Linked DNA regions of Xenopus tropicalis. The protein of the gene in region 3 binds, or shares a complex with, the protein of the main gene of each other region. Links are inferred from orthologs where the notes say so. Each region holds a gene or a part of one and is shown on either strand. Other genes may lie near its edges.

What was found. The genes of interacting proteins can lie anywhere in the genome.
Region 1: smarca2 (region 3) and dpf3 share a complex: the UniProt entries of both Homo sapiens proteins name them as parts of the BAF complex. The link is inferred for Xenopus tropicalis from reciprocal best matches to the Homo sapiens genes SMARCA2 and DPF3.
Region 2: smarca2 (region 3) and smarcd1 share a complex: the UniProt entries of both Homo sapiens proteins name them as parts of the BAF complex. The link is inferred for Xenopus tropicalis from reciprocal best matches to the Homo sapiens genes SMARCA2 and SMARCD1.

What each region holds. Positions count from the first base shown.
Region 1 is NC_030684.2:106,432,409-106,436,065, reverse strand, and holds part of dpf3 (zinc finger protein DPF3), read right to left. Parts: intron 3,181-3,657; coding exon 3,073-3,180; intron 1-3,072. UniProt on the Homo sapiens protein: Belongs to the neuron-specific chromatin remodeling complex (nBAF complex).
Region 2 is NC_030678.2:148,804,835-148,808,491, reverse strand, and holds part of smarcd1 (SWI/SNF-related matrix-associated actin-dependent regulator of chromatin subfamily D member 1), read right to left. Parts: intron 3,061-3,657; coding exon 2,873-3,060; intron 1,866-2,872; coding exon 1,823-1,865; intron 1,730-1,822; coding exon 1,607-1,729; intron 1,509-1,606; coding exon 1,386-1,508; intron 1-1,385. UniProt on the Homo sapiens protein: Involved in transcriptional activation and repression of select genes by chromatin remodeling (alteration of DNA-nucleosome topology).
Region 3 is NC_030677.2:128,297,455-128,301,211, forward strand, and holds the start of smarca2 (probable global transcription activator SNF2L2), read right to left. Parts: upstream 2,184-3,757; 5' UTR 1,923-2,183; intron 1-1,922. UniProt on the Homo sapiens protein: ATPase involved in transcriptional activation and repression of select genes by chromatin remodeling (alteration of DNA-nucleosome topology).

The DNA of each region.
Region 1 (3,657 bases), on a different chromosome or scaffold from region 3:
AGGCATTGCCACAATACAAAATATAATTATAATTTTGCCCTAAAATGATGGTACAGCCGACAGCTCCGGCAGGTCATTTGTCAAATGCTGCAAGTGTTCCATGAATCTCTGTGCTTTGTATACACATGTGTAATAGCAGTCAAATGTAATAGCCATTAAAAGCTAGAAAATCTGTCTAAGCAACAAAGTAGCACAGACAGAGGCATGTTTCCCAAATTAATGCGATGGGGAAATAAAATACATGAAGAAATTATGTGGGTGAATTGGCAATTACAGAGCTAACCCTTCATCTCACAGGCAGGTTAACCTTGGCTATTGTCAAGACAGTAGGAGGATTACACACAGAACTGGCACTCATTCAGTTAAACTGACTGCACAGATGGAACCCCACTCTACTCATTAAACCCATTAAGCCCAGGCAGCGACACTGAAACATCCATAAATCAAGCCCAGGTACTGCATCATGAGGCTGACAGTCTAAAGATATATCTTCTAACTGAGGTCTCTAATTATTCCTTGAATGATGTACTAGCTCATTGTACAAAGTATTATTAAAGCAATTGATTAAGAGAGCCTAGAGCAGGGTTGCTGCTATGGGGTTGTTTTAATTCATGTTTGGCCCTTAGGGTATATAAGTCTTAAAGATCCAGAAACAGATACCATTAGCATTTTCAACATGTTATATAAGTATATTTGTGCCAGGACACCGGCAGTAGTTAAATTATGATCTCAGAAATAGATCCATAATCATAACAGCCCTAGCCAAGGGCGTCACCCCCAGAAAGCCTCTGGTAGGCAACTCTAAAGAAAACCTATCAAGGTGATCCTGCTTGTAGAACAAAGCAAATACTGCTTAACTCAACTGCAATTTATATATATCCTATTCTAATATCCTTTGAAAAAGGCTTTGCTCAAAAGGCTCTGGTATATGAAACCAGTCTTCTTCACATTCCAGATTACTACAAGACCTTGGAGCAGATTGACTGCATAGAATTCTAATAAACTGAAGGATGTTTGGATAAATAAATCTGTTCTACGGATGTGTTTGGATAACAGCAACATTTCATTATTATCTGCCCCTGCGCATGTAGTATAACGAATACTTGGGCCACTGTCCTCTTCTATAAGTATCCAGGGTACGGGCAGGATTTTCCCCACTCTGCAACTCCAGCTGCTGCCCAGCTACAACAAACTAAAGCTTCCATTTGCATTTAAACTGCACAAACACTGCAGATGCAAAAATCAGCCAATTTCAGGTTGATTTCCTCATTCTGTTATTGCTAGCTATATATCTGAAACATATTTCATTCAAATAATTTTGATTACAGTACCTTCAGTGCTGGTCCATTTGCTTTTTTGGAATAAGGAATGGCCTTTTCCATCGAAGGCAAATTAGACATGGCTTCAGATGTTTTTTTTACCTTCCTTCAATATTATATTTTGGAGAATGAAATTTAAGAGACAGATTCCCTTAAAACAAATCAACTTGCATTTTATGTTAGGTAGAAAGTTGCACAGTGGTTTTGTATTCCTTACATTGCCAAGGCTTGTGATACATAAATATCTGCTTTCTAAACTAAGAGCTGTTGCTCTTAGTGGTGCATGAATAGAGAAATGGCGGAAAGTTGCTCTTGATGGTGCTATTTGTACATGAATAGAGAACTGGCTGAAAGATCATTAACAAAGAGTTGTAATTAGTAGAATATATGGTGCAAGGTGGTGTACTCCACATTTTGTATGACTGCACTGCTATCAAATCTGTTTTTTAAAGACTTAAGGTGGCCATACACTAAAGATATGCCCATTTGACAAAATGAGTGGATCTTTCCTGAATATACCTATTTTCAGGTAAGCGATATCAGGCATATTGCCAAACAATCGCACTATAGAGCCAGTATGTAGGCTGTCAGAGTGAGGCCCGCATCAACGAGCCCAATGATCTGCCCATGCATGGGCATACAAGCTATTGACTCGGCCTGATTGGCCCAAATCCGCAGCTTAAATCTACCTATATACTTTTTTTTTTTCTTTTTTTTTAAATAAAAACTATTGAAAAGAATATGTTTATTTCCCAGAGCCTACAAAAGACTGTTGGCAACCAATTATGTGTTTTGTAGCCATAAAACATTGTTCCCCTTCTTTTTCCTAAGAAATTCATATTATGTAACTCCCCCTATTATTTCAGGAGTTACCCAATTTTGGAGCTTTCCCCCCGGTCTCCCATCATCTGCCACTTCAGGTTTCCGCAGCAAATTAGTACCACAATGTAGTTGACCATTTTGTGTAAAAGTCATAAGTTACATATTAAGAGAAGAATTTATTAAATGTTGGTACATTTTAGTGAAGAGTAATGATAGTTACATTTTAGGATTTAACAATTTATGTTCTGTGCTGGAATGATTCATTCCAAGGCAACATAATTGTCCCAATGTTATTTCCCCACATGCAAGTTACACTGGGAAGCAAGGATATGAGCAGGTGACCACGCACAGCGCTGCTGAGCACTAACACTCCATAAGGCAAAATGACATTTGACTGCTCTAAGCAGTTGGACACATTCTGATGAACTGACACAGGTATCAACTTTGATAAATGCATCAAGTCATCAAAAACTTTTAGGCTCCTGCACCATGGGGTGGATTCTTAGCCTGCGGTTGATGGAGAATATACCCTTACGCTACAAAAAGCTTATTGACAAAGTGGATTTGGGAGTGTAACTGCATACTGCAATTATATACTGAAATCCACTCAGTGAGGATATTAAATTTGCCCCTCAGTATCCATGTGTGTAACTGGCTGTGAGATTACCCAGTGCAGGAAGGCATTTCTGCCTGTCTGATCATTGAGATAACTGCTGTGTTGCCTTGTACATTCCTCCTGCAGTGTCACATTAGCTGAGACCAAAGGGATCACTTCAAAATCCACAAACACTTAACAAAACCAAGTGTATTAGAATTCTGAGCTCAGGGGACAATACAGCTCTCTAATTCTAATAAGGGGATTCAGGGTTTCATAAAATCAAAACAATAACATAATTCACTTGTAAAGCACTTGTGTAAGGCTGTTGCAAACCTGATTTTATTTCCAATAGTCTCAACCTCGGATCTTCTGGGGGGTGTAAACGCCGCTTTTTCCTCCAACATCGTGCAGGGTAAGTATATAACTGCCCTGGAGCCATTCCTGCAAAACACAATATTCCAGTACCATTTAATTTAAGATATTTAAATCTTATAAATGAAACAAATAGAGATCCATTCCAGTATTGCTTTAGAATGCCACTGCCTACATAATGCCAAAATGAAGTTTTGGTGAACTCCACTGTTAGTGGCAATATAGGTGTCTGGCAAACCATTCTCTTGTTGGGATCAACACTGCAACAGTAAAAAGTAAGTGTGATGGTGCCTCTCGTAGTTGTGTTTAGGAAGCATTGGGTGTGATATGGAATGGCATATAACTCATTTCTGAGCTTATAACAAACCTGATCCCTCCAGAAAAGATAAACTATTTATTGCAATCAGTATTTGCAGATAATGCTAATGTGTTTGTTTTCAATGCATTGCAATTTTTTGGCAAGACAGTTTTGCTCATCACTAGTTATGGTCCTAAACACGTGTTCCTAAATTCAATCTGCGTTTTGTTAAACATTGAAAGGGACAC
Region 2 (3,657 bases), on a different chromosome or scaffold from region 3:
ATAAAGCAGTCAGTAAAGAGTCTCCTAACGCCTGTGGAGCACCAATATGACTATATGCTGTAGCCTGTTGACTGGTCTAAAGTATTAACGTAATAACATAGCAGATGAGGTAAAAAACAAAAACAAAACACCAAACACACACATTTTTCTACAGGTGAAACCAGAGGGGAAAAATCCTTCTTTATTCCAATATGACAATCAGACCAGTCCCCGGGTCAGCTTTGCTCTGAGTATTGTCCGTGGCAGGGTATTTTCTGGCATTTTTAGGCCGTTGACAAGTAGCTGCTACTAAGTAGCTCCATGTCTCTTAGCCCTAACAGCTAAGGCCCTGGTCAGTCAGACAGGGAGAGAAGGGGACCGCTCTAATACACATTGCCCTGTAACTACTAGGGATGCACCAAATCCAGGATTCGGTTCGGTATTCGGCCAGGATTAGGCCTTTTTCGGATGGATTCGAATTCGGCCGAATCAACGGTCCTGGCTGAACCGAATCCCAATTAGCATATGCTAATGCCCTGCAAGAGCTGTTGTGTCCTGCTTCCCCCACCTTGCCTGCCCACCGATGTGCCGTACCCTGCTTCCCCTGCAAGAGCCGTTCTGTCCTGCTTCCCCCTGAGAGCTGTTCGTAACTTGACAGCAGCCGTTATGCTGCTTACAAGGAATGTTCGGCTCTGTTGTTCTCTAGCCACAATGAGCACAGAGCCAAACGTTCTTTATAAGCCGCACAGCGGCTGCTGTCAGAAGTTACAAACAGCTCGGGGGGGGGGGGGGGACACGATCACCTGTAAGGGGGTGCAGGCGGGAATTGTGCAGTTGTGATAGAGGGCCCTACAGCAGGCATATGAATGAACCGAAATTCAGCCGAATCCCTCACCATGGATTCAGGGTTCAGCTGAACCCAAAAAACAGGGTTTGGTGCATCCCTTGTAGATTGTAAGCTCTTTTGGAAGCTCTTCACCTCTTGTATCGGTTATTGATTGCTTTATATGTTACTCTGTATGTCCAATGTATGAAACCCACTTATTGTACAGCGCTGCGGAATATGTTGGTGCTTTATAAATAAATGTTAATAATAATAATAATAATAATAATAATCCCTAGTAGCTACATTGGTCATTGGTACATCACAGCTTCAGCATGCATGAAGCTACACGTAGCTGAGGAGAAGCTAAGATTGGCCCAAAAATACCAGGGTCAGATTAAATAAAAATGTCATATTTAGAGACAAAGGGACATAGAAATCCTTTGGAAGGTCACATCCTGCCCACAGGCCTCCGGTTGGACAGACCTACTCTACAGAATCCAACCTGTGACTGTTATATAAAAGGACGGGGGGGGTTGTCATTAAGTAATCAATGGAAACATTTTTGTTGCTCAGTACTCACATCCTCAAGGAGACGGCCCTCCACCCGCAGCTCCCATGAGGCAACAGTTCCCTCTCCATCTTCAGCATCTGATTTTGCAGGGTTGAAAGTATTTGAAATGAAGATCCGAAGTTTTCTCTTTTGCTAAAAATTAAGAAATTTGTATAAGAACAGATAATGTCAAAGAAGAAAATATAATTAAAAATTCCACTTTGAACTTAAAGAATTTCTGTCCAGAATACCTTTATTGGTCTCTTCAAAGCCTCCTGAATATCAAGCCGTTTCCTCATGATTGTTTGATCCAGCTTTCTCTCGAACGCTAACAGATCCATGTAAGCCTGAGATTCGGGTACCAGTTCCCTTATCTGTAGGAATAGAAAATAATATATATATATATTGTCGATTAAAAAAATAGAAAAAAGTTAAATAACTATGGTGCCATCTTCTCGAGTACTTACCCTCTGAGGTAGTATCTTATCAGCCATTTTCTTCTTTTTAGCACTGTATGAAGAAAAGAACAATAACTTTTACTCATTTATGGATCCACTTTAAGCCTCTAAAAGAGGATATATTAGCTAAGCCTATTACATACAACCATTTGTTCAACTACATTGGCACACATGGGAAGATATGCTTTTTGGCTATCCATTTGCTCTGCAAATGGCCGACAGTAAGAACATTTAAAGCTGGCCATACACGCACCGATTCACATGATATTCGGTGCGTGTATGGCAAGTTGGCGAGTCGAAGCTGCTGATATCGGTCGACTCACCGATCGGGCCAGTTAAAAGATTTTGGTTGGGCGCCATAGAAGGCGCCTGACCAAAATCTGCCTTCAGCGCTGAATCGGCAGAAGGAGGTAGAAATCCTATTGTTTCTACCTCCTTATCTGCCTCTTTCAGCCCTGAAGGTTAGTGGCAGATCGCCACATGTGTGGCCACCTTAAGGCCTATGGAAATCTGCAGGGAGAGAACCACATCTGATAGGATTTTTCTGCCTGATAGATAACCAGCTGATTATCAGGCAGGCTGGCTGCCGGGATGGCTGCTAAGTCGGTCTGAAGCAACAGTGCGGAGAACTAAATTCCACTGGAATCATTAATGTGCCCCAATCTGCACTGTACACTGAGGGTAAGAACTCACGTAGTGGTTTAGTAATCCACAATTGATCTTGCCTGCAGGAAGAAACTTTGCACGACTTTGGAATACTCCTATTGTTGCCAGTGGAAAGCCATTTCGGAGTGGTAGTCGCCCGTGATAGCGTTCTATTGCGGGCAACCGAACTGCTCCGTTGGTTCTTACCCTAAAAGTGGCCATACATGAGGGGGTTGGGCACATATGTCCATGTGGCATTTAAAAACTACAGTACAGAATACTTCAAATAAGCCATTTAACTTTAAGCTGCAGCTATGCTAGTGAGCCATGTATTTTGAGAAACCAACTTAAGCAGTTTTGGAGATATATAGGTCCTTCTAAAGCAGGAACTGCTAATTCAAATCAAAACATTACCTATGGTTCCTATTCTGAGCAGCCTGTTGTTGCACCTGCTGTATTTGCTGGGGTGCAGGACGTTTCCGAGACTGGTCCATGCCTGATTGGGCCATGCCTGGCCGAGCAGCTGGACTTCCACCATAACCAGGGGGGCCCATTGCTGGTCCCTGAGGAGTCATTCGGCTACCTGGAAGCATTCCAGGTCTCTGCACAGAATAAATATAGAATAAGGTTTCATTACACAAGAACTGACACTGTTTGATATACATTATTTGAGAGACACACACCGTGCATTATACTGTTCATTTTATACAACTGTATATTAAAATCTACATCGGTCTTCTTGCTTGTTCCACCCAACACTATTTTTCTCCCTCATCTACCATGTTCTGCATATTCATGAAGGCAGGGGTAACCTTTTTTTTTTTTAGCAGTGAACCACATTTAAATATAAAAAAAAAAAAAAAAAAAAAAAAACAGTTGGGGAGCAACACATGCATGAAATAAATTTCTAGTAACTGTCAAATAAGGGCTGTGCTTGGTTATTTGGTAGCCCAATTTGTACTAGCAGCCTACAGGTGACTCTGTTTGGCAGTACAAAAGGCCTCCAAAACAGAAATTCAAAAACAAGTATGTGCTTTGGGGGGACTGTGAGCAACATCCAAGGGGTTAGTGAGTAACATGTTGCTCCCAAGCCACTGGTTGGGGATCACTGAATTAAGGAGACTCTCCCTTTTTCATAGATTATAGTTTATAGTAGCTGTTTATTTAAATATTGTAACTCTTAAGCACATACAAATATT
Region 3 (3,757 bases):
TGGAGTGAAGTATTTCCGGTGATTGTTGCCCAGGGCAACCAATCAGCAATTAGATTTCAACAGTTAGAAAATCAAAGCAAAGCATCTGATTGGCTGCTATGAGCAACATCAGCGGCAATGTTTTACTCCACTTTTTACACAGCATGATAAATATATCCCATAGCCATTTAGGTGTAAATTTGTAGGTGTACTGTCAGATAGCACCACATTTTGCTCTATAATTCTCTGGTATGAAGAGAAATTCATAGTGGACTCATTGCCTGTGAAATGTGCAGGTTTTGTGTCTTGGCAGTTTGTATGAGGTTCTTGTGTTATGTTGTTTTTCATCTTGGAAAGACAGGATTTTGTGCATTAGGACAAACTATTAATTGTCCGGAGGATGATTTTTCCAGAAATCTTGTGATCCTTTCAGATACAACATAGTCAACCTAACTGTGTTGCCATTGCATTTTAGAGTAAATGGGCTTTCTCTTGGCTATGTGTTCATGAAATATTTTATCAGTCTTTTTCTAATATTTGGGTCATGAAACTTAAATGGGTTGTTCACCTTTGTACAACATACACAAGTCTAAAGGTGGCCATACACATTAAGATCTACTTGCTTGGCGAGGCCGCCAAGTGAGCGGATCTTTTCCCGATATCCCCACCTACAGGTGGGCAATATTGGGCAAATTTATGGGGGCCAAGCGATCGAATTATAACGATGGCAAAGGGCGCATTGGGTTCCGATGTGGTTCCCGATCCGACTAAATTTTCTAACCTGCCCAAACGATATCTGCCCAATTTCAGGCCAGATATCGGTCGGGCATGGCCGTCGTTGCTGCCCCTACACAGGCCAATAAGCTGCCGACGGCAGCTACAATCGGCCAATGTATGGGCACCTTAACAGTTCACATTAAGAGAACAATCTTTTCCATATACATGGTTAAAGGGGTGGTTCACCTTTAAGTTAACTCTTAGAATTTTACAGAATGCCCTATTCCTAGCAGCTCTGCAATTTGTTTATTTTTTATAGTTTTTGAATTATTTGCCTTTCTCATCTGCCTTATTCCAGCTTTTAAATGGGGGTCACTGATCCCAGCAGCCAAAAACGATTGCTCTGTGAGGCTACAATTTTATTATTATTGTTACTTTTTATTACTTATCTTTCTATGCAGGTCCTCTACTATTCATGTCCCCATCTCTTGTTTAAACCACTGCCTGGTTGCTAGGGTAAATAAGACCCTAGCAACCAGATAGCTGCTATAATACCAAATGGAGAGATGCTGAACAAAAAGCTAAATAACTGAAAAACCAATGATTGTCCAGATTGTCTCAGAATATCAATGTCTACAACATATTAAAAGTTAATTTAAAGGTGAACTACCCCTTTAACTGAAATAAAATGTATAAATATACAGTATAAGAGCATTCTTTCAGAAGCACACAGAGCTAATCCTAGGTAAAGGTGCAGATGCTATTAATTCTGCTGCCTCAGGTCTACACTGATAAAACAATGAGAATAATGTGGAGAATGAAACTGCTAAGTTGCTTGTCACCTCACTGAAACTTCATTGCCAAAAAGAAGAGAAAGGGGATGAGCAGCTGTAAAGCTCAGAGAACTAGAGCAGCCTGCAGCACTGCCTTCCCGGCTTTGATGCCCAAAGCAGATTTCCTTATGTTCTTACACTCCATGCCCCCTCCCTCTGTGCAGGGCACCATGCCAGGCTTTAAATGACTGCGTGTCCCTATTGTGACCCACAAGTAAAGGTCTGAAAACACCTTACTTAATGTGAAAGGGTTAAAGGACTGCTGAAAAACAAATAAACTGTCTGAAATGTGGAAGCTGCCAGAGACTACAAGGCAAACACAATACCCACCTGGGGAGGATGGGGTTAAGGCTGAGCAGATTAATAACAAAAGGTAAAGCAAGCCTTTCTTACCTTCACCCCTTACCGAAGAGCCAGAGCTTGAACCGCTGCTTTTAGTCCTTCTACTTCGCTTTATGTCCCTGTCCCTGCAGTCTGTCACCCTGACGGGATGAGGAGCGGATAATGCTGCTGCTGAGGTAACTGGTCAGTGCCACCTTTTGACCAACCCGTGCCCGCCTGTCAGTGCTGCAGACACGCCGTCACTCACAGGGGCTGCAACTCTCACTGGCAGCCGGGCCATGAGATCATTATCCGGATCATGGCCTCTTCCCCTCCTGCTCAATCCTTCTGCCAACTCCTCCTCCTCCCAATTCCTCCTTGGTTTTATTTTTAATCCTGCTGTCTGTAGTTTTCCTCTGCTTTGCCACTTCCTCCGTGAAGAGGGTGCCAAAACCACACCTCCTACATAGTTCAGCTGTGAACAACTGCACAGGCTATAGAGAAAGAGAGAGAACTCCTTCCAATAATCCCCCACAGCGCTCACTCTGCTGCCTTTGAGGGGGATGCTTGCAGGTGACTGGTGTAGGTGCCGGTATAAAGGTGCCACAAAATGACAAAATGAGGGAGCAGCACATTTGTTTTCACTCAGAATCTGACCATACATATCCACATTCTCACAACTCCTCTCTAAAGAGCATCTTTTTTATTTTAAACACAGTGGGGACAGGGCAGGTGCCATGGGTGCAGTGAATTGTGGGTGAAGGTGTCAGGCAGTTCCCCCTTTCATTATTGGCCAGTAGAGGATTACTAGAAGGTTTCAGGCTGTTCAGCCCATATCAGCCAGTAATATGAAATTATGAAATGAAGAAAGTTTATATATATATATCTATATATATATATATATATAAGTCAAGCTGTGTCCGCACTCTAAACCAGTTTAACTGGTGAGTGCTGAAGTCAAAATATGTAAATACCTATAAACAGGACCAGCACTTCATTTCACAGCAATTCTTCTATTTATTCATTCACCGTGTGTGTGTGTGTGTGTGTGTGTGTGTGAATGAATAAATAGAAGAATTGCAGTGAAATGGTGTGCTTGTCCTATATATATATATATATATATATATATATATATATGTAAAACCTAGCGTATATTGGTGCACACCGGGAATCATTTAAAACATAACTTTTATTAAATAGTTAATACATTAAAGATCAGTCTAACATTTCGGTCTGCATCTAAGACTTCCTCTTGATAAAAGTCTTAGATGCAGACCGAAACGTTAGCCTGATCTGTAATGTATTAACTATTTAATAAAAGTTATGTTTTAAATGATTCCCGGTGTGCACCAATATACACTATATTTTCTTTTTTTCAATGCTCAGTTGGTTGCACCCGGGTCCATTGACTACGCTCAGGAGTGCTGAATCCATGCGTGTTATATATCTATATATATATAAATATAATTATGGTATTTTTACAGACAAACCCTCCCTCTCATTAAAAAAGCAACAAATCTGGCGTGTGTTTTAGTAAGACGTTTTACATATTGAGGGACAGACAGGAGATGATCAGGGAGTGGCTCCATTATCATTAGCCATAACTAGCTCTTATTCCTTGTACCACTTAATTAGCTGAAGTCTTTTCCATTGTCAGAGAAAGGTAAGTTAGTCAGGACCATATCGTTCCCATAGGAAAGAGAGCAGCCCAGAATTAGGAAGTACAGGTATTATCCAGAATGCTCGGGACCAAGGGTATTCCAAATAAGGGGTTTTTGCGTAATTTGGATCTTCATACCTTAAGTCTGCTAACAAATCAATAAAACATTAATTAGACCCAATAGGATTATTTTGCATCCAGTAAGGATTAATTATATCTTAGTTGGGATCAAATACAAAGCACTGTT